Arabidopsis thaliana: one gene and its partners. The protein of the gene in region 4 interacts with the protein of the main gene of each other region in a pairwise test. Each region holds a gene or a part of one and is shown on either strand. Other genes may lie near its edges.

Region 1 (5,073 bases), 1.0 Mb from region 4:
TGTTTAGCAAAAACAAAAAAGTTACTAGATTCTTGGGTTGGTTACGAAAAAAATAAAATTGGGTCACTTTTGTTGCATCATTTCATAAAGCAGGCTACTTTACATATGTTTTCAGATCTCTATTCCATTTAATATATTTGAAATTTTCAGAAATTAATCAATATCCGATATACAGTATAACCTCTATTTGGGACTGCAAAATTTTATTAATTTAGAGAGGTATTAATTTATTGATAAATTAATATTTATTAATTTATAGAGAGATTTTCTTAATTTGGTAACTTTTTAAAAAAATTTATAAGATTTTTTTCATTATAAAAAATATATTTCTAGAACCAGTTACAAATAAAACATAATAATAATGTCTAGAAAACATTATTAAACAAATAACAAAAGTTTTGGTATAGTAAAATATGAAAACTATAATCAAACAAATAACAAATATGAATTTAAACAAAAAATTATTATAAATATATTTTAAAGAAATTTTTTACATATAATATATATATATAGTTGATATATTTATACAATTATTAATTTATGATATCGATGAGACCATATATTTACATAGAACTTTCCAAAAAATTATTATCTTATTAATTTATCGATTTGTGTCATTTTTTACACTAGTCCCAACTCGGGACCGGAAGAATTTATTAATTTATAAAGGTTATTAATTTATAGAGGTTATACTGTAGTAAGAAGTCCGTTCTATAAGAAAAGTAACAACCCAAACTTCCAAAAATCTGTACAAAATGAAGTTGAATTACAATTATCACCTGGTGTATAGTTAGAGCTTTTATTGTTTTAATATCAAACTGAAAGAAAAAAAAAATTGTTTCAGACAACTAAATTATTGGCTAGGGCCAATTAGGCTGTAAATTTACATATCAACTTTGATTAACTTTTCTTTTTGTAAACTTGTTTAAAACCGTTTTTTTCCATTGATTGATTAATCGAGTAATTAATTTATTTTATTTCATCTAAAACATAAATAATGAACCGTTGTGCAACCTAATTTTTTTTGTGATCGAGCGGGTTGACTAGATGAGTTAGGTTGAATTTAGAAATATTTACTTTTACATGTAAGCTAACGGTATATAAATTCTGAATTGAAACGTAGGATCAGTTTTAAATATGCGACTAAACTCCGTTGAATATCAAATATAGGATTAACTGAGGGTCATACTATAATTTCACGTGAAATACAATTCTAACAATCGTTACAATGTTTTTTAAAAGAGCTTTTATTTCACAAGATGCAAATTGCAATACTATATAAATATAATAAACTGAAGATAAGCGCACTATCCTTCTTATCATTATGATGGTGTGATTTCTACTCTTTACGTTCCATTTTTTTGGTTCACCCAACTACCAAATTTGGGATCCTCCAAATTCTATGCCAAAGACATAATGTTTTTTTTTTCTTTGTGTTTAATAGACATATTGTTAAGATTAAAAACCTATTATAGTGGGCAATTCAATTTTTCCCACCTTTGCCTTTGTCTGAAGAAAGTGTCTTCTTTTAGGCCACTTTTTCATTTTTTTTTTTTTTTGGACTGACATAGTTGGCAATGTGTTGGAAAGAGACAATCTAAGATGTCATATTTTTTTCTTCTTGGGTCCAAAATGTTTTATGAAACCCATGTTGCCTCACAAAGAATGTTTTTGGCAAACACTATCTATTTTTACAATAGACTTCCATAAGATAAACCTATTGCCAAACCTACTCCCATTACAAAACTAACGAGTATAAATTTAAATAACTTATTGAATTATTTTTGGAATTAATCATATTGTCACTTTTATTGTAGAAACCCTATGTCTCACCATAAAACAAAGGCAGGCAAAGTAAAGTATTATCTCTAAATTATAAATTAATAATTATTCGTCGCCTACTTGGTCCCATTTCTCAATTCTTCATCTCTATATCTATCCCCACATTTCATTGCATTGATTCTCTTACAAGCACTTTCTCCCTCAGTCTTTATCTCCCTCTTTCTCTCTTCTCCATGTCTAACATGTTTAGCAGAATTGCCATGACCAACTCTATCGTTCTTCTTCTATTTTCCTTGACTTTCTTAGGTATCGTTTTTGAATAATTGCTTATTTCTGTCTACCAACAAACAAAATTCATTATCTCAATTTCAGTTTGTCATTACACTTTAATTATTTAAATTTCTCTTACATTTTTTTCACAGAACATGGATTGTTGTTTCAAAGGGTCTCCTCTCTTGGCATCAACTATGGTCAAGTCGGCGACAATCTTCCTCCACCGGACAAAGTTCTACAACTCTTGAGTTCACTCCATATCAATAAGACAAGAATCTATGACACAAACCCTCGAGTGTTAACCTCATTTGCCAATTCCAATATCGAGCTCTTTGTCACCGTCGAAAATGAAATGCTTCCCAGCTTAGTAGACCCTCAACAAGCTCTCCAATGGGTCACTACCCGTATCAAACCCTACTTTCCGGCCACCAAGATCGGTGGTATCGCCGTCGGCAACGAACTATACACTGACGATGACTCAAGCCTTATAGGGTTTGTTACATACATCCCCTCATTCCTATAAATTGTTATCCTTTTCAAATCTTGGTCCATTACAAATATGCCCTACTAACCAAATCATGGTAGTCATGTGGGTATCATCCTGAGATCCTCTAGTTCAAAAAAAGAAGAAAGTATTCAACCTCGTTATTGCTATGATTCGCAGGTATCTTATGCCTGCAATGATGAGCATTCATGGGGCTTTGGTCCAAACCGGACTAGACAAGTACATTCAAGTATCGACTCCGAACTCACTATCCGTCCTTCAAGAATCTTACCCTCCATCCGCCGGATGTTTTAGGCCGGAAGTAGCTGGCGTAATGACACAGCTACTAGGTTTCTTGCGTAACACGAATTCCCCCTTCTGGATCAACGCTTACCCTTACTTCGCTTACAAGGATTCCCCAACAAAGATCCCATTAGACTACGTCCTCTTCAACCCTAACCCTGGAATGGTTGACCCCTATACCAAGTACCGCTATGACAACATGCTCTACGCTCAAGTAGACGCTGTGATCTTTGCCATGGCGAGGCTTGGCTTCAAAGACATCGAAGTTGGGGTCTCGGAGACTGGATGGCCGTCTAAAGGCGATGGAGATGAGGTTGGAGCCACTGTGGCCAACGCAGCCGTTTATAACAAAAATATTCTAAGGAGACAACTTCAAAATGAAGGAACGCCATTGAGACCAAACTTGAGTTTTGATGTTTATCTATTTGCTCTTTTCAATGAAGACCTTAAACCAGGACCAACCTCTGAGAGGAATTATGGATTGTATCAGCCTGATGAGACCATGACTTACAATGTAGGTTTATTATCGTCGTCATCATTAACATCAACATCAACTACTTCTTCAACTTCTATTATTTCCCTCACTTCCTCTGCCTCCACGGTATGTATCAACATTTAACTTTACTTGCTCTGTTTCTACTAGATCTCTTACTTCCATATTTCTTTCTTTTTAATCTTTATATAGCACATTAAATCCCTTGAAAAAAGCTTTGATTGAGAAACATTTTTAAAACAAATTCTGACCTGTTGTCTAAAAAAGAAGAGAATTGTGACGTTTCTTTCTTCTAATTGTGACGTTTTATACTTGAAAAGTTCGGCTTTTCTAGAACATATTCTTACCAAACATATTTATTTTAACATATTTCTTGATTAATAGCGATAAAGTATACATTTTTTTTGGAGCGATATGATTAGTACATGATATTTATGATTATCCTCACCATCTGATTTTTAGATACATATTAGTTAATTAAAAATTTGCGGTCTTAATTATTGCTTATTATGATATTTTAATTTAAACAGGCTTTAAAGAAGGGAAAGCAACGGTTGATGTATTGGACATGCGTTTATTTGTTGGCCATTCACATGCTAATTAGAAGATCGTACTAGAAGCAAAAACAAATTGAGAGAGCTTCTAAGTGTAAATAGAGAGTCCACTAATGCGGTCCAATTTTTCAACGAGAAGAATTAAATTATTCTCGAAAGTGTCTCAGATGATTCTTTAAAAGGGGAAAAAAACACTCAGAAAAATTGAGAAGGGAATGCAGTACTGCAAAGCGAATCCTATGTATAAAAAACTGACGATTCATATTATAGAACTTTATTTGTATTTGTCTTACTAACGTGTTAATTACTTTCGTTGTCTAAATAAAAAGTGACTAAAATTAATCATCAACTGATAAGGTATACAATAATGATTCGTATACAATAATGATTCATGAATCATATAAGAACGATCGTGTTTATTGTTTAAATCCAAAGGATACAATTTCATTTGAGGCATTTTAGTAACCACATTCATTGCATAATTTCATTTAAAATGTTTGATTTCACATTATGTACTACATATGAATCATATTTCAGAAAGCTAAAGAAATTACTCTAGATATAAAGAAGACCCCATATAGTACTACTTTTACGAGAAGCATAGAATATAATAATAATTATTACTAAGCAGAAAATATTGTCATTTTCAACGCTCCAAATATTACTTTAAAGTACATGATATATAATGTTATCATCAGATATCGTTTAACAGAAACAGAAAAAAAGAAAGATGATATCATATATTTTATATAGAAATTTATTGATTGGTCACACCGAAGGTGAAGGCTCTTTTATCTTTTACCTTTTATCTTTTGGACGTGGAATCCATAAACCTTAGACATACGATACCTTCCTTTTCCATCTCACCGTCAACATTCGATATTTTAATATATTGTCTGCTCTTACACATGCATGCATTATATCTGCATGTATATGTGGTATGGCTTCGTACGTGCACACACATGACACTACTCATACATGCATACATGACACATCTTACATGTATGAATATGTGTATATGTCATATGTGTGGTGGATACTCATTAATTCACCAATTGATGTAAAAGAGGAATGCTCCATTTTTCTAACGGGAGAGAAAGAAGAAGTTAAAAATTATCAAAACAAAACTAAAGTTTATTTATTAGGAGGAAGCATATAAATTGATATGGACGGTTCCAACTTTA
Region 2 (5,091 bases), on a different chromosome or scaffold from region 4:
ATGATTACATTTATATATAGTATATAATACGTAACCATGCATTTAACTTGGTACTTGGATTCGTTTATGAAAGATTGAAAGGAAAACGAAAGTTATATGATCACTACTCTTGAATTCGAACTCTAATTTAGGAAGAACAGTATAAACCCCAACATATAGTGTTTTCTGGTCTGAAAAACTTTGATTGTTTTGTTTTTGTGGTTTGGGAAAAAACATCAACATAATATTCATGACGTCAAAAGTACAAAACAAATAAGATGGATTTTGAATAAACTTTCCAATCGTGCTAGCTAGCTATTTCTGACATAATTCAAGAAGAATAATGAAAATATGTCACACAAAAACAAAAGTATTAACGATGAATGAATGAATGAGAGAAGACAAAAACCTTTTTGATATTAAAAAGACTGTAATATATATCAACACATCAGGAGAGAAATTTGAAAGCATATTATAGATTTGTAATCATCAAGTGATAAATAGAACTTATTCTACTAGCATTATTATTCATATTTATATATGATCCCTCAATTTCACCAGTGAATAAGCATCCTCCACGTTTTCACAGATTTCTAATCCACCGATTTTAACTTTTGTTCCATCAGTCAAATCCCCCTTTTTGTTTTTGTTTTAGTCCGACTATATATATTTGTTTGCTTATGTTTTTCTATTTGTTCCAAATCTTTGGTAAAGATAGGTGTTTCCATAAAATGTTATTATCAAATCAAATGATAAATAAATGCTTTCCAGATCATTTTATGCCTCTGCATGATTCTCTAGTAATTAGATCAAATCAATTTTCTCATCATGAATATGTGTAATAGAAAAGACTTTGTGAATGGACAATATATATGGTTACAAAACAAAAATATACCATAGAATTAAAAAGTGCTAATATGATGATATTGCACCTAGCAATATGTGTTGTTGTGATTATATTAGAGTCCAGAAGGCAAATAATAAATTTGTTGTCTAGCAAGAAAGGACAAGAGCACGAGGTACAAATTTTTCTGTAAACTTTTGTAGTTCTTGAATGGCTTCCTCAATCCTCACGATGATAGATTTTTCGCTAGCTCGTAGTATAATATGGTTCTTTGATATTTTAACAAAGAAGAAAGACATGGCCATATGATTTTTTATCGAACGAAACATAAAAAACAACGTAAAACATGGTTTAAGATAAAAGTAAGTAAGTTATTTGTAGACTTCTCTATCTATCTATATATTAACATATTCTAAAACCCATGACATGTTATTTCTTAAACCATGAATATATTGAAACATTCAAATCATCACTAGGTATAAGTAAGTGAAATTCATTTTCTTATAAGAAATCTCTCTTTGTCGGTTATGAAATTGGTTGCTATCGCCAGGTCGTAGGGCACAAATACCCATTTCGGCATATATACAAACTATTCCATGCACTTTACTTATATTACATGCACTAGCATAGTTCTGCTCCCATTTTATGAAAGTGGTTAATAAATATAAATATTAAGATTAAGAAAAAAACGATTAAGCAAATATTTCGAATAAATTATTGAAAATATATTATTTGGTTAGTCTCATGTGTTGTGGCGACGAGTTACGACAGCCAAAAACATATATTGGTCGAGACGATCTTCTAGTTATGGTGCTAAAGCTGCAACCTCATTCTTTATTCTGCGACATTACCATTAATTAATATAGTCAAATATTGAAAGAAATGTTTACGTCATACACAAACACTACACTCACTATTTACAGGAAACAATTGGAATAGAATCATATGCCACGGCACGGTCTGGTCAATTATATTGATAACGATAACTCTCTTGTTTCTCAATTAAACTAATGGCTAAAAATATGAGGTTGATTTTAATTTTTTTATCTAAATATTTAGACTCAAATTTCAATTGTATCTATTCTATAGGAATTTAGCCAAATTATTTATAAATATTCGTAATCATATTCCGAAGAAAAAAATATTATTGTTTAATTTATATCTAAACTTTACTTTTGTTTGAATATTACTCATGGATATCTCATTACCTATCTTTTTTCTACAACAAATAAAACAATTAAAAATTTATCTATAAATATGAACATGTTGGTTTCTCTATCGTAACACATTTACTATCTACGAACGAATTTAGAAGCTTTGTTTTCTTTCCTTTCGTTTGCTACTACTGCAACATTTCTATTTTTCTGATAAAACCATGATAAATTGTGGAGATGTTTACAAGGTAATCGAAGCAATGGTTCCACTCTATGTAGCCTTAATCTTAGGCTATGGCTCTGTGAAATGGTGGCACATCTTCACGCGTGATCAATGTGATGCTATAAACCGTCTCGTTTGCTATTTCACCCTGCCGCTCTTCACCATTGAGTTCACGGCCCATGTCGACCCGTTCAACATGAATTACCGGTTCATCGCGGCCGATGTCCTCTCTAAGGTCATCATAGTCACGGTCTTAGCGTTGTGGGCCAAATATAGCAACAAAGGAAGCTATTGTTGGTCCATTACTAGTTTCTCTCTATGCACTCTTACTAACTCTCTTGTCGTTGGTGTGCCATTGGCTAAGGCAATGTACGGACAACAGGCTGTTGATCTGGTGGTTCAATCCTCGGTATTTCAAGCCATCGTGTGGCTCACACTCTTGTTGTTTGTCTTAGAGTTTAGAAAAGCCGGATTTAGTAGTAATAATATCAGCGACGTACAAGTAGACAACATCAATATCGAAAGTGGAAAAAGAGAAACTGTGGTTGTGGGAGAGAAGTCGTTCCTTGAGGTCATGTCCCTCGTTTGGTTGAAGCTTGCAACGAATCCAAATTGCTATTCTTGCATCCTTGGGATCGCATGGGCTTTTATTTCTAACAGGTAAAAATGAATCTTTAATTAAACTTTATATTGGTACCTATAAGATGTTTAACAAAGTGTTAATTAGTATGTGTGATCAGGGACTCAGGAGACTACATTAATTCCACCCCTTACTCCGAGGCAACCGTTAAAATTGCCTAAAAATATCTATAGTTTGACGTTTAAACCATCTAAATTATTACTTTTCTGTGTAGCGCCTGATGATCTATAGTTAAAATTTTGACAGAAATATAGGTCACGATTGTTTCTTTGCATTTGCGTTTATATTTCCATGTGACAAATGACTAGGACATTTTTAACATGGTAACATAATTTGCAAACGTGACATGTACATGCAAATAAACTAATCATGATTTTAATCTGAATATTAGAGTCTTTGACCAAATTTCTATTTTATTTGTTTTAGTGTGAATTTTGGGTTTAGGGTTTTGATTAGTGTTTTGTATACTCTTGGCTAACAAATAAAGACTTAAGTCTAATAATTGATGGAAATTAATTGGAAATATAGATGGCATCTGGAGCTGCCGGGCATATTAGAGGGTTCGATTCTTATAATGTCAAAAGCAGGAACAGGAACGGCCATGTTCAATATGGGTACGTTTATTTATGTCCATGCAAGTATCTTTCTATACGTAAAGATTACGTATCAGTATTGAGATAACAGTGAATACATGCATATATACGCAGGAATATTCATGGCACTTCAAGAAAAGTTGATAGTATGTGGAACAAGCTTGACTGTGATGGGAATGGTATTGAAGTTTATTGCCGGACCGGCGGCCATGGCCATCGGCTCTATTGTCCTTGGCCTCCACGGTGATGTCCTCCGCGTAGCCATCATTCAGGTCATAAATTCTACTTTATCCTTTTGTACCCTAATTCTACTGAAGTTTGTATATAAAAAAAAAAGTAGATCATTTTCCATTCATTCATCCACTAAGATACTAACTTTATATTTTTCAGTTTAATATATCATTAATATTTATATGAAATTTACAGGCTGCTTTGCCACAATCGATTACTTCGTTCATTTTTGCTAAGGAATATGGATTACATGCAGATGTTCTAAGCACAGCGTAAGTCCAAATTTTAAAAATTCAGTCTATTTAAGAAGAAAATGGTAATATGAAATTAAATTAAAATTTTGATAAATGTAGGGTGATATTTGGGATGTTGGTCTCTCTACCTGTGCTCGTCGCCTACTACGCAGCTCTGGAGTTTATTCATTGATTAAACTAATAAATTCGATTATATCATCAATATTACCCTTTGTTCATCTTTCACAAGTTTTTTTTTTTGTTATCTCTTTTACACTTTCCTCCTAAAGGAGATTTTGAAGTATATTCGAGATATGAAAACCATTAACTGAATGAATTAACCTAGTTTATGCTTAATTTTATACTTTCTTAAGCTCTCTTTATTTTCGTAGTATGCATAATTTAGTATTTTGTTCACATATACGTATCAAGAAAAGATAAAAACTCTATAAATGAAAATACATCATGTTCGGATCTAAAATTGTTTTAATACGTACACTAAATATTATAAGCCCTTTTTTTGTTAACAAAAAAAAAAAAAGAATAAATGAAACGAAATTCAGGTTAGAGATCAAATAAAATCTTGTTATTATTTGATTCATGATCATACATACTAACCAAATCAGGATTTATGAAATAAATTATTCTTTCTCCTCAACCGAATCAATATGAAGATAAAAGGGGTAATTTAGTCTTTTCGAATTCGTTTTTCTTACCGAATCTCTTTAGTTTTTTTTCTTTCTTTTGTGTGGAGGAGAGAAGAGAACGCAACACTTTCTTCCCAATCTCTCTCTGCTTTCTCTCTCTAGACGTGATCTCTAATTCTCTAATGTCTTCCTGCATTGCCATTTCCTCTAACCCCTCCACAATCGGAGGAAGACGATTCCTGGGAGCAAGAGAAACGATGGGACTTCCCATCGGAAAATCTCTTAGAGTGAGAGAATTATGGTGTGTTCTTAATGCTTAATAATCACCGACACAGCCATTGTTCTTCATCATCTCCATGGATTTTGATTCCATTTCTCGGGAAAGCACTTTTCTTTCCCCATTGCTTAACCAAAGTACCATCCTTTATTCCCTCTCTGATGTTCTGATTCAATCTTAAAAACCTCAGCTTGAATTTTTGTTGTGGGGTTTTGGTTGGGTTTGTGAATTTTAGATGCAATGTGGCAAATGAACTTGGGATCAGATGAT
Region 3 (4,427 bases), on a different chromosome or scaffold from region 4:
TTATTGTCAATTTTGTTCGATTCTTTCAAACAAATTTATTCGATTTTCATTATATTTAAGGGCTGGGTGTTCAGTTTTTCGGTTTGGTTTCGTTTCGGTTTTAGGTTTTACGGTTTTTCGATTTTAAGAAAAGTAAAACCATATAAAAACCATATAAAATTCGGTTTGGTTACGGTTCGGTTTTAACAGTTTTACAGTTTTTGGTTTTAAAAAATTAAAACCATTTAAAAACCATATGTATTTTGGTTCGGATCGGTTCCGGTTTGGTTCCGGTTTTTTCATGTTTTTACCAAAAAAAATTATAAGTGTGATGCATAAATAAAATCAAAATCTAATTTGTAAACTCAAATCCTAAATGACGGCATGTAATTTATATAGAATTTTAGTTTAGGTTACAGTTAGGGTTTTGTTTTTCGATAGTTTGATAGATATCATGTTATCAAATGAACATTATATATATATATATACAATTATTTTTAATTTAAATCAAAAACAAAAAAAACGTTCGGTTTTACGGTTTTTAATCAAACCAAACCTAAACCAAAACTTAAATAAAAATTACAATCAAATGGGTTTTTATACAAAACCATAACCAAACCAAACCATTTGTTTTGGTTTGGTACGGTTCGGTTTTTCGGTTTTCGTTTTTTTTCCCACCCCTATTAATTTAACATTTATATATGATGGATTCAAGCCTACTTCATTTTAGTGGGGTTTAATGGACATATCTATGGTTATATTCAAACTTCAAAGCCTTGGGTTTGTAAAGTTTTATTTCTAGCCTAAGTGTATATGTAAACATATCATGTAAGCACTGATTTATTAGGAGAATGAAAACAAACAAAACACTCTTTTATGAAGCAAAAAGAAAGCAAGCACAAATAAGCTTACTCTAAGGCCCACTAAATTTTAACAAATACCCATTAAAGCCCATTTAGGAACAAGGAAAACAAAACTGGACCGTATCAAAACGACAAAACAAAGCTAGAAGCTCTTCAGATTCAATGATATCCAATGGGAGCTGGAGCTTCTTTTAGCTCACGACCTTGGTAATGAATATCCTGCAATTTTTATTAAAACCATGAAAACAATCTAATCATCTTTTAAACATAAGTAAGTTTCCTATAATACAATTCACACTACTTACGGATGCATAGTGGTTAACATCACGGTGATGCGCTTCATCAGCACGGACCACCATGACGACATCACGAAGCGTCGCATCAGCTTCAAGTCTCCAGTAATCAATGGCAATAGCCGGTGCAGGCACATTTTCGATGTTACCATTATCGAGTTCTTTAAGAAACTCAGTGTAAGAGTGGATTGCTTCTTCCTCAAGGTATCCAACCATACGATGAGCAAATTTGGGAGAAATTAGGTATCCAAGGAAATAAGCATTGAAGAAAATGCCTTGAACGGCAATCACAAGAGCTCGTTCGTACCAATTAGGTTTCGCGACTTCCATGAATGTCATTAAATGCATTCTCTCGTTCTCTGCTTCTTCAAGTAGGGCTTTGATCCAACCACCGCTTTGTTCAAACCGTCGAAGCGATTTGCAGTGTACTAACATCCCTCCAACCATTCCTGGAACCGCTGCAACCGTTTCTAGCATCATTGCTCTGCATCCGTACCGCCTCTGCGGTTAACTCGTTGGCAAGATTAGTCCAAACATACAAAGCATTTGAAATGACAAAACCATAGAAAGCTAAGACTGTCACCTGGAAGAAAAGATCGGTAGGCCATCGAAGAGATTTCACGGTCCAATAAGCTAGTTTGTCCGGTAAAGTCGATGGAACATGATGCTTCTTCAAATCTATAGTCAGATCTGATTTATATGTCTCCCATGGCTACAGTTATTCCACACAAAAACTCAAATCATACATATAAATCGACCACAGAGTTCTAATATAATACCAAAGATGTAATGTACCCTAAAGCAACTCCATTTCCATTCAGTTCCATCTTCTTTGGTGATCTTCATCGGCTTCACTCCCCAGTAGCTAACGATTAATTGCTCCCCTTTGTTACCTTGATCAGCCTTGCCACCGCTAGATCCTTTCTCCTCCGTAGTTTTCTTCTTCTCAAATGTCATCTTGCTGAAAACTCTCACGACTCCCATCGCCGGAACCCTAATATTTTCCGTCACGAGAGGAACCCTAGGATTCAAAAGATGGCTGTGAGTCACAGCAGTTTCCATTAGCTTGGCTCCATAGCGACGACTCATCATCATTATGCAGATCGAAAATGAACAGTGGAACTTGATTAATGATAGTGTTTTTTTTTTGTTTTTTTGCATTTGGTAACTCCTAAACTGACATCTATTTATAGCAATTACGGAACTCTAGGATCAATGTATACAAGAAAGCGTAAAATTCGTCTAATTTGACTAAAAGACTTGTAGCACACGAAAAGACAAACTAATCCGCAAGTTTATGCTCAAAAACTGTGGACATTTTTTAAGTAAAAGCTTGTAGTAATAATCTTTTTTCTATAGACTTGGCTGGTGATATTCGTCAGCCGTTTTAATTCATGTTTTGATTAATTAGATTAATATAATTAAAAAGTTAAAAAAATCCTCTGTTCCAAAACAGAGACGTATTTGTGTAGTGTCTTATAGTTTCTTTGATGTATCTAACAATAACTGTGTCGCAAACTGTTGAAACCATTGGACAACCTTCTCGGTTTGAATATCATGGACGCAATTACTTGTTTCAAACCATAGGGTCTGAATGGTTGCAGCGGTTAAGGCGGACAAATCCGTTTATGGACTTGACCGATATTTAGTTACCATTCATAAATTGTGTCTGTAGTTATTTACCATTCATAGAATTGTGCTTATATATACAAATAGAGTTGATCTACATCGGTTTGTTATCCATCCTAAAAATAGAGCAAACTAAACTGCTGAGTGGATTTGTCCATCCCGACCGCCGCCACCATTCAAACAATATAGACGAATCTCAGTGTATCTATGAAACTGATCATTACTAAAATTTACCCAAAATGTTCGCAATAAAATCGATTTTCCCCCCAATTTGATGATTTTGAATCCATCTTGACGATGTCGAAGTAGGATATCCTCGGGTTTTTGATTCCGCTAGCGATGATCGAAACCTCTCCAGACAGAGTGATAACAAGATGATTGTCATTTGTTTCTGAAATCCAGCCTAGAGCAGGCTCTCAAAGGTAAGAATCATAAACTATACAACACGAAGAAAAAGAATAAACTACCAAAAAACTTTCATTAAATTATTCAACCAAAGGGAAAACAAATGAGAGAGGACTAGTGTATCTTATTTTTATCGACTAGTTTTTTTTCTTCTCTTTTTTACTCTCTATCTCTCTTACAAGATTTGAACCAAACTTGGAACATAATTGTAAATAAATGGAAACCACCACCATTTTTTTGTAAATTTTTCAGAAAATCTACATAACCACCATGGCTTGTTTGTAGCATAAGGGATTTCTGAGTAATATTTATTGTCTTCTCCAATAGTGAATATCAAGTTCCCGTCGGTCTCGAAATCTAAATTACAACACAAGGCCACTTTCTTCTCCTCGTTGATTAAAAGACTCGCGAAAACCTCAGAACAATGACCGCCAATGGGTAAATCCACTATAAAGGATTTGCTCCACAACAAAGCAGCTTCTTCAGTACCAACTTTATTGGTTACAAATATCTCCATCTTTGATGTCTCAATCTCTTGTAACACTGAGAGTTGTTCTTCTCCAACAACTGATAGAGCCATAAAACCATGATCTCGAGATGGCGGAAGACCAATATGATTAAATCTCTCTGTTGTAAAATCAAAACTACGTAAGAAGTCCTTTTTATTAGAACCAAACCAGTAAGTGTTTCCCTTTAAAGACACGACACTTACTGGTGGGAAGCGGTCATCAGGGACGTCATCAAGAACCTTCCATGAATCAGATCTAAAGTCATATATTTCAAACCTGAAACGTCCGCCGTCGTCTGGTATGTGATCGTGAAACCAACCCCAATACCTCAAGATTTTGTAGTTACGACGACAAAATTTGTTGTTTTCGTATCCTAGAGCAAACGTAGAGTATCTCCTGCATTCATCTTTGAGTTGGATCCACCTGGTTTCCCCCAAACACGGATTCCAAACCACGAGTCTATTGTCCCTGGTGGCGCATAACAACAAACCATCACAGTGATAAACTTCGACTATCTCGACTTGTCCTAAATTAGAATGGGAATCATCTTTTATGCCAAGTGTACCTTGAAACTCTACAGATGGAGGAGAAACATTGAGATTGATATTCATTGAGCAAACTCTGTACTCCTTCAACATGAGAACCATAGACTCCTTTGGAGCTATATGAAAGTGTTTCTGGCTGAAACTTCGTTTTTTGAATAAAGTGTTCCATTGTTTGCAAGTAGATCGTAATCGTTTCAGAGATGT
Region 4 (5,275 bases):
CACTCCTACTCGTTCTGCAAAACCAACCAATTGTGGGAGTGAGAAATAGTCAAGTTTAACTGAACTGCATATGCTGCATTATCAAATCTTGGACTTACCAAGTAGTCGGATTGCAGCAGCGAGAGTCCCACCCGTGGCAATGAGGTCATCAATAATAATAGCACGCTCACCAGGCTCTACTGCACCTACGTGCATCTCAATCGTATCTGTTCCATACTCCAACGAATACTCCTCCGAAATAACCTTCCCTGTTAAAGGAACCAAATGCAGAGGCAGTTTAGAAATTAACGTCCATGGATAAACAAGGAATGCGACAATTATTTGACACTGCTCATAAGTTTCCAAATGGCTTAATACATTTCTTGTAACTGGTCAAGATACACAACTAAGTCCATTGATATGTAACAGAAAAAATAACAACCACTTAAGTTACTGCAAGTTACCACAAAGAAAAATGATCTAGCAAATGAGTAGCATCATATTGATCAAAGACACTGCAAGATAAAAGTCACCTTGCTAATGTTCGAGATAATGATAAAGTGTAGACTTGGAGCAAGAAGCCATTTAAACTAACAACTTCCTAATTGAGACCTTTCATGTAACTTAATGTCAAAATCACAAGCAACTAGAGGAAGAAATAAAAATGTACCAGGTAGCTTCTTGGGCTTCCTCATGGGAACAAATTTGGCACCAATAGCCAACGCAATAGGAGGGCCAAAAATGAAACCTCTAGCTTCAACACCTGCATTTACCACAACATCAATTTAGGCAGAACCAAAAATCATCCACCAATTCATTTCAACTTTTCAGTTTAAGCTAAAGCACTCAGTATCTAAAAAGGCCAAAAGAAACTAAATCCACAAGCTGTTAATCGATTGGAGTACCAAACAGAACCATACGAGTTGTTACCTGCAACAACAGATATGCCTTTATCTTTGTATCTATCAACAAACAAAGCAATAGTATCCTTAAAGGCCTCAGTGTCGAGAAGAAGCGTCGTTATGTCCTGAAACATGATTCCTGCCAAGTATCCAAATTAAAACCTTAAGATCCCAACGCAGATCAAGACTAGAGACGATATTAATCGGTATAAATGGAAAAAATGGAGACCTGGTTTAGGGAAGTCGGGGATGACTCTAATGGAAGAGGCAATCTTAGCGATTCTGGGATCTTGCACATCTTCAGTCGCCATTTCACTGTCCCGACTGGCTGCTGCTTTAGCAAAATACTCGGCGTCAGATTTGCAAACACAGAGAGACCCTAAAGACTCAATAGAGAGACACAGTGATGAAAAAATGACCAATTTATCCCGAATGGTAACGCTTTGACGGAATTGCCCCACGCAAGCAAAATATCTTTTTCAAAAGGAAACAAAAAGTTTAAAAGGGAAATAGAAGGTGGTGGGGTCTACCGGCGGAGGAGAAGAGGCGGAGTGAGGTGGTTGAACGGTGGTTTGAGAGGCGGATCGAAGGAGGAGCACGGTGGTGGTTGTTGAGAAGACGGTTGCAAGGAACAGCACGAGCAAGACAGAGACGATGAGAAACAAGTGGAGAAATTATTATTGTTTGCATTGTCTTTGGACTGAGAGATCTTAAAAGAGAATGTAAATTACTTTAAACACGGAATAATGGACAAAAGCCGTGATCAATGACTTTTCAAGTCTTAACCAAACCTATAACTCATCCATTGTTTGTTTTTTCTACATATTTCTTCACATAAAATTGGATGATTTAGAATCTTTCAGAGTGTTCACACTCCAACAGATTATTATCCACAATGTTATGGTTACATTTAGAGATATATAACAATGTTCATTTCATCGTTGCTAATGACATAAAACGATCAAAAACTGAATCATAGTACTTCTTTTACAGTGATCTCAAATATATTAATCGCTAATCAATGAATTATGTCACCTATAATTGTCGTATTACCAACAACTATAAAACATATATATAAAAAATTGTTGTCGTTAACTAGTTGTTGATAGTGGCCACTCTAAAACGATCATGACCTACTACGGAAGTTATAACTAGTCAACGTTGGACGTTAGCAAGGCCCAATGGACATTAACTCAGCCCATAATAGCACGCGCCTTGTGATGTGCACCAGTTTCCGTCTTTGGTCGTTGAATTCAAGGAAAAAAAAAGTACATCACAAGCAATTTCTTACTTATCTGTGACTTGAAGCTATTTCTCCAATTTCGTTTTCCATCGACACTCTATTTCATTTTCACCATTCACGTCTTCCTTCTGAATAAAATAAACCCTAAAACCTAATACCGAAGTAAACTCGTCAACCACTGCGCCCATGACCTCCCAACGATACTCTTCCCTTATATTCTTCCTCTTCCTTCTTCCTTTCTGCGATCCAAACCTTCAAACACATCTCCGGTAGATATGAAAATCCACTCTTGCCTCTCCGCCATTCTTCTGTTCCTCTTCTTCTCTGCTTCTTCCGCTAAACAAAATGTTCGGACAGAGCGAATTTCAGGTACTTGTTCTTCTTGCTCCAGCAGATTGGAATGTAGAGTTGAATTGATTAATCCTTGAGGGTCGCTCAAATAAGTTTGAAATCTGTCGTTTCTCCAGCATTTGGTTTATAGACATATAATTTGATTTGCTTAAGAAGTCAATGCTATTGATTGAGGAACTATGTAACAGCTGTGTAAGAGAGCTCAAAAAGGTGTGTTTTTGAAATGCAGGAAGTGCTGGTGATGTTTTGGAGGATGATCCAGTGGGAAAGCTTAAGGTTTATGTATATGAGCTTCCAAGCAAGTACAACAAGAAATTACTGCAAAAGGATCCTCGATGTCTTACACACATGTTTGCTGCTGAGATTTTTATGCACAGGTTCCTTTTATCTAGTCCTGTTCGAACGCGTAATCCTGATGAAGCTGATTGGTTTTACACGCCAATTTATCCTACTTGCGACCTCACTCCTACCGGCTTGCCATTACCGTTTAAATCGCCGCGTATGATGAGAAGTTCGATACAACTAATCTCATCAAATTGGCCTTATTGGAATCGGACTGAAGGAGCTGATCACTTCTTTGTTGTGCCCCATGACTTTGGAGCTTGCTTCCATTATCAGGTAGATTATCTCTGCATTCAGGAACAAACTCTATTTTTTATATGCATTGAATACTTTGGTGGTTGCTGTTCATCAAGAATACCCTGTGATCTTACAATGATAGATGATCATTAGCTTAAAATTAGCTGTTGTATCATCACATTAGTACTTAGTTACATGGAAACTGAGAATCTGTTTATGAGTTTATTGTATAAGATTGTGGAATATTCCAATGATTTGTGTGGGAATTGAAGATTTGATTGACATTAAACAGGAGGAAAAAGCCATTGAAAGAGGGATACTTCCACTACTCCAGCGTGCCACTTTGGTTCAGACATTTGGTCAAAGGAACCATGTCTGTTTGGACGAAGGCTCGATCACTATTCCTCCTTTTGCACCTCCACAGAAGATGCAGGCCCATTTTATTCCTCCAGATATTCCACGCTCTATCTTTGTCTACTTCCGCGGTTTATTTTATGATGTTAACAACGACCCCGAAGGTGGATATTATGCAAGGTACATATTTTGTAGACTTGTAAAACTCTCAAGTGATGAGTTTTCTCTAGTCTTACATAGATTTTTCAACCAAAATGGAACTGCAAACTCTATAGTATCATACAATAAAAGAAGCACATATACATCAAGATCTACCTATTAAGATAACAATTAAGCATTCCTCATTAGGAAGTTAGGTTATATATAAGGTTAGCTAAGATCAAATTGTTTTAGAATCTGCTGACTGGAACTTCTCTCTTTGTATAGAGGTGCAAGAGCAGCGGTGTGGGAGAACTTCAAGAACAACCCTTTGTTTGACATCTCAACAGATCACCCGACAACATACTACGAAGACATGCAGAGAGCCATCTTCTGTCTATGTCCTCTAGGATGGGCTCCATGGAGCCCTAGGTTAGTTGAAGCAGTTGTGTTTGGGTGCATTCCAGTTATCATAGCAGACGACATAGTACTGCCTTTCGCAGACGCCATCCCCTGGGAAGAAATAGGAGTCTTTGTTGCGGAAAAAGACGTCCCTGAACTAGACACGATCCTAACCTCAATACCAACAGAAGTGATCCTCAGAAAACAGAGACTCCTCGCAAATCCTTCGATGAAACGAGCCATGCTTTTCCCTCAACCTGCACAACCAGGGGATGCATTCCATCAGATACTTAACGGGCTAGCTCGGAAGTTACCCCACGACAAAAGCATATACTTGAAGACAGGTGAGAAGGCACTGAACTGGACTGCTGGTCCGGTTGCTGACCTGAAACCTTGGTAAAGTCAGAAAGAGAGGAATCTTTTTGTATATCTTGGGTTTCACCTAGAGCATACGTTGTTGCCTTTCTATAGCACTTCAAAAACATTAGAAGTCCAAGTCCTCCGAGTGGATTTTTTTTGTAGATAACATTAGTACATTTACTCGAGGTACATGTACCAAGTTTGTTGTACATTTTCTCTTCGATTGATCATATAATACTGTACACTCCTTTTGTCTTGGCTAACTCCAATCATGTAAGTTTCAATGTCCAATAACCTGAAAAGTTATGAAAACATGTGGTAATTAATTTTGTTGTGAATCAAATTAGAATCCTTATTAAAAAAGAAAATTATTTATTCAAAAAAAGCTCGTAGATGAAATGGGCCTAAAGTCTACTAAATGGGCTGATTGAAGGAAAAACTCGAACTAATCTAAGATCTTTGCTCTTGAGAGAGAACGAGAGAGGCGGCCATGGGAGGAGGAATGGGTGCGTTTTGGGGAACTCGAGTGATGGAATTAGTGAAGAAGCACGATTCCGGTGGTCTTCTTTGGAAGCGGATCAAGCTAACCCCTACTCGTAAAGCCAATGCCAAAACCCGCCTCCGTCGTGTTTGGCAGGTACTCTCCTATTCCATTTTTAGGGTTTATGGGTTTTTGAGAGAACATTTCTCTTTTCGTAGTCTAGATCCTCTTATCTGCGTTCACTTCCCTACAATTACCCGCCAAGGATAGATTAGGATTGAATGTATTGATGGATTTTTCGTGTTGAAAGTATTGATGGATTCATTTCAAGATCATCAGTTTCGATTGCAAAATGTTGTTCAGTCTATTGTGATGTGCTCTCCTTAGGTCTGAGTAGATGTAATGAGTTAGGACAAGGCCAACTGTGTAGTTTGTTCTTGGTATATGGCCTTTAGGCTTCTATGTATCTTTCTGTGGAACTAGGAA

What was found.
Region 1: the proteins of GUT2 (region 4) and AT1G30080 interact in a protein complementation assay, tested with the Arabidopsis thaliana proteins (one large-scale study listed by BioGRID).
Region 2: the proteins of GUT2 (region 4) and PIN5 interact in a protein complementation assay, tested with the Arabidopsis thaliana proteins (one large-scale study listed by BioGRID).
Region 3: the proteins of GUT2 (region 4) and AOX1B interact in a protein complementation assay, tested with the Arabidopsis thaliana proteins (one large-scale study listed by BioGRID).

The regions. Positions count from the first base shown.
Region 1 is NC_003070.9:10,550,110-10,555,182, reverse strand, and holds AT1G30080 (Glycosyl hydrolase superfamily protein), read left to right. Parts: upstream 1-1,887; 5' UTR 1,888-2,015; coding exon 2,016-2,088; intron 2,089-2,204; coding exon 2,205-2,547; intron 2,548-2,719; coding exon 2,720-3,443; coding exon of another isoform or gene 3,444-3,461; exon of another isoform or gene 3,462-3,865; coding exon 3,866-3,952; 3' UTR 3,953-4,328; downstream 4,329-5,073.
Region 2 is NC_003076.8:5,398,537-5,403,627, forward strand, and holds PIN5 (Auxin efflux carrier family protein), read left to right. Parts: upstream 1-2,103; 5' UTR 2,104-2,198; coding exon 2,199-2,860; intron 2,861-3,368; coding exon 3,369-3,454; intron 3,455-3,547; coding exon 3,548-3,705; intron 3,706-3,859; coding exon 3,860-3,936; coding exon of another isoform or gene 3,937-3,940; exon of another isoform or gene 3,941-4,017; coding exon 4,018-4,090; 3' UTR 4,091-4,309; downstream 4,310-5,091. Other genes in the region: ZFN3 (zinc finger nuclease 3), read left to right, coding at 4,901-4,958, 5,057-5,091. UniProt on the Arabidopsis thaliana protein: Auxin transporter regulating intracellular auxin homeostasis and metabolism. Mediates the auxin transport from the cytosol into the lumen of the endoplasmic reticulum. May also act as an auxin efflux carrier when located to the cell membrane.
Region 3 is NC_003074.8:7,901,959-7,906,385, reverse strand, and holds AOX1B (alternative oxidase 1B), read right to left. Parts: upstream 2,290-4,427; 5' UTR 2,231-2,289; coding exon 1,931-2,230; intron 1,848-1,930; coding exon 1,719-1,847; intron 1,637-1,718; coding exon 1,148-1,636; intron 1,062-1,147; coding exon 1,002-1,061; 3' UTR 810-1,001; downstream 1-809. Other genes in the region: AT3G22350 (F-box and associated interaction domains-containing protein), read right to left, coding at 3,345-4,427.
Region 4 is NC_003070.9:9,528,338-9,533,612, reverse strand, and holds GUT2 (Exostosin family protein), read left to right. Parts: upstream 1-2,123; 5' UTR 2,124-2,399; coding exon 2,400-2,493; intron 2,494-2,704; coding exon 2,705-3,093; intron 3,094-3,346; coding exon 3,347-3,588; intron 3,589-3,834; coding exon 3,835-4,348; 3' UTR 4,349-4,646; downstream 4,647-5,275. Other genes in the region: APT1 (adenine phosphoribosyl transferase 1), read right to left, coding at 1-14, 99-248, 575-742, 910-1,020, 1,111-1,260, 1,412-1,571; AT1G27435 (uncharacterized protein), read left to right, coding at 4,799-4,945. UniProt on the Arabidopsis thaliana protein: Involved in the synthesis of the hemicellulose glucuronoxylan, a major component of secondary cell walls. Probably involved in the elongation of glucuronoxylan xylosyl backbone, especially in the formation of GlcUA side chain of xylans.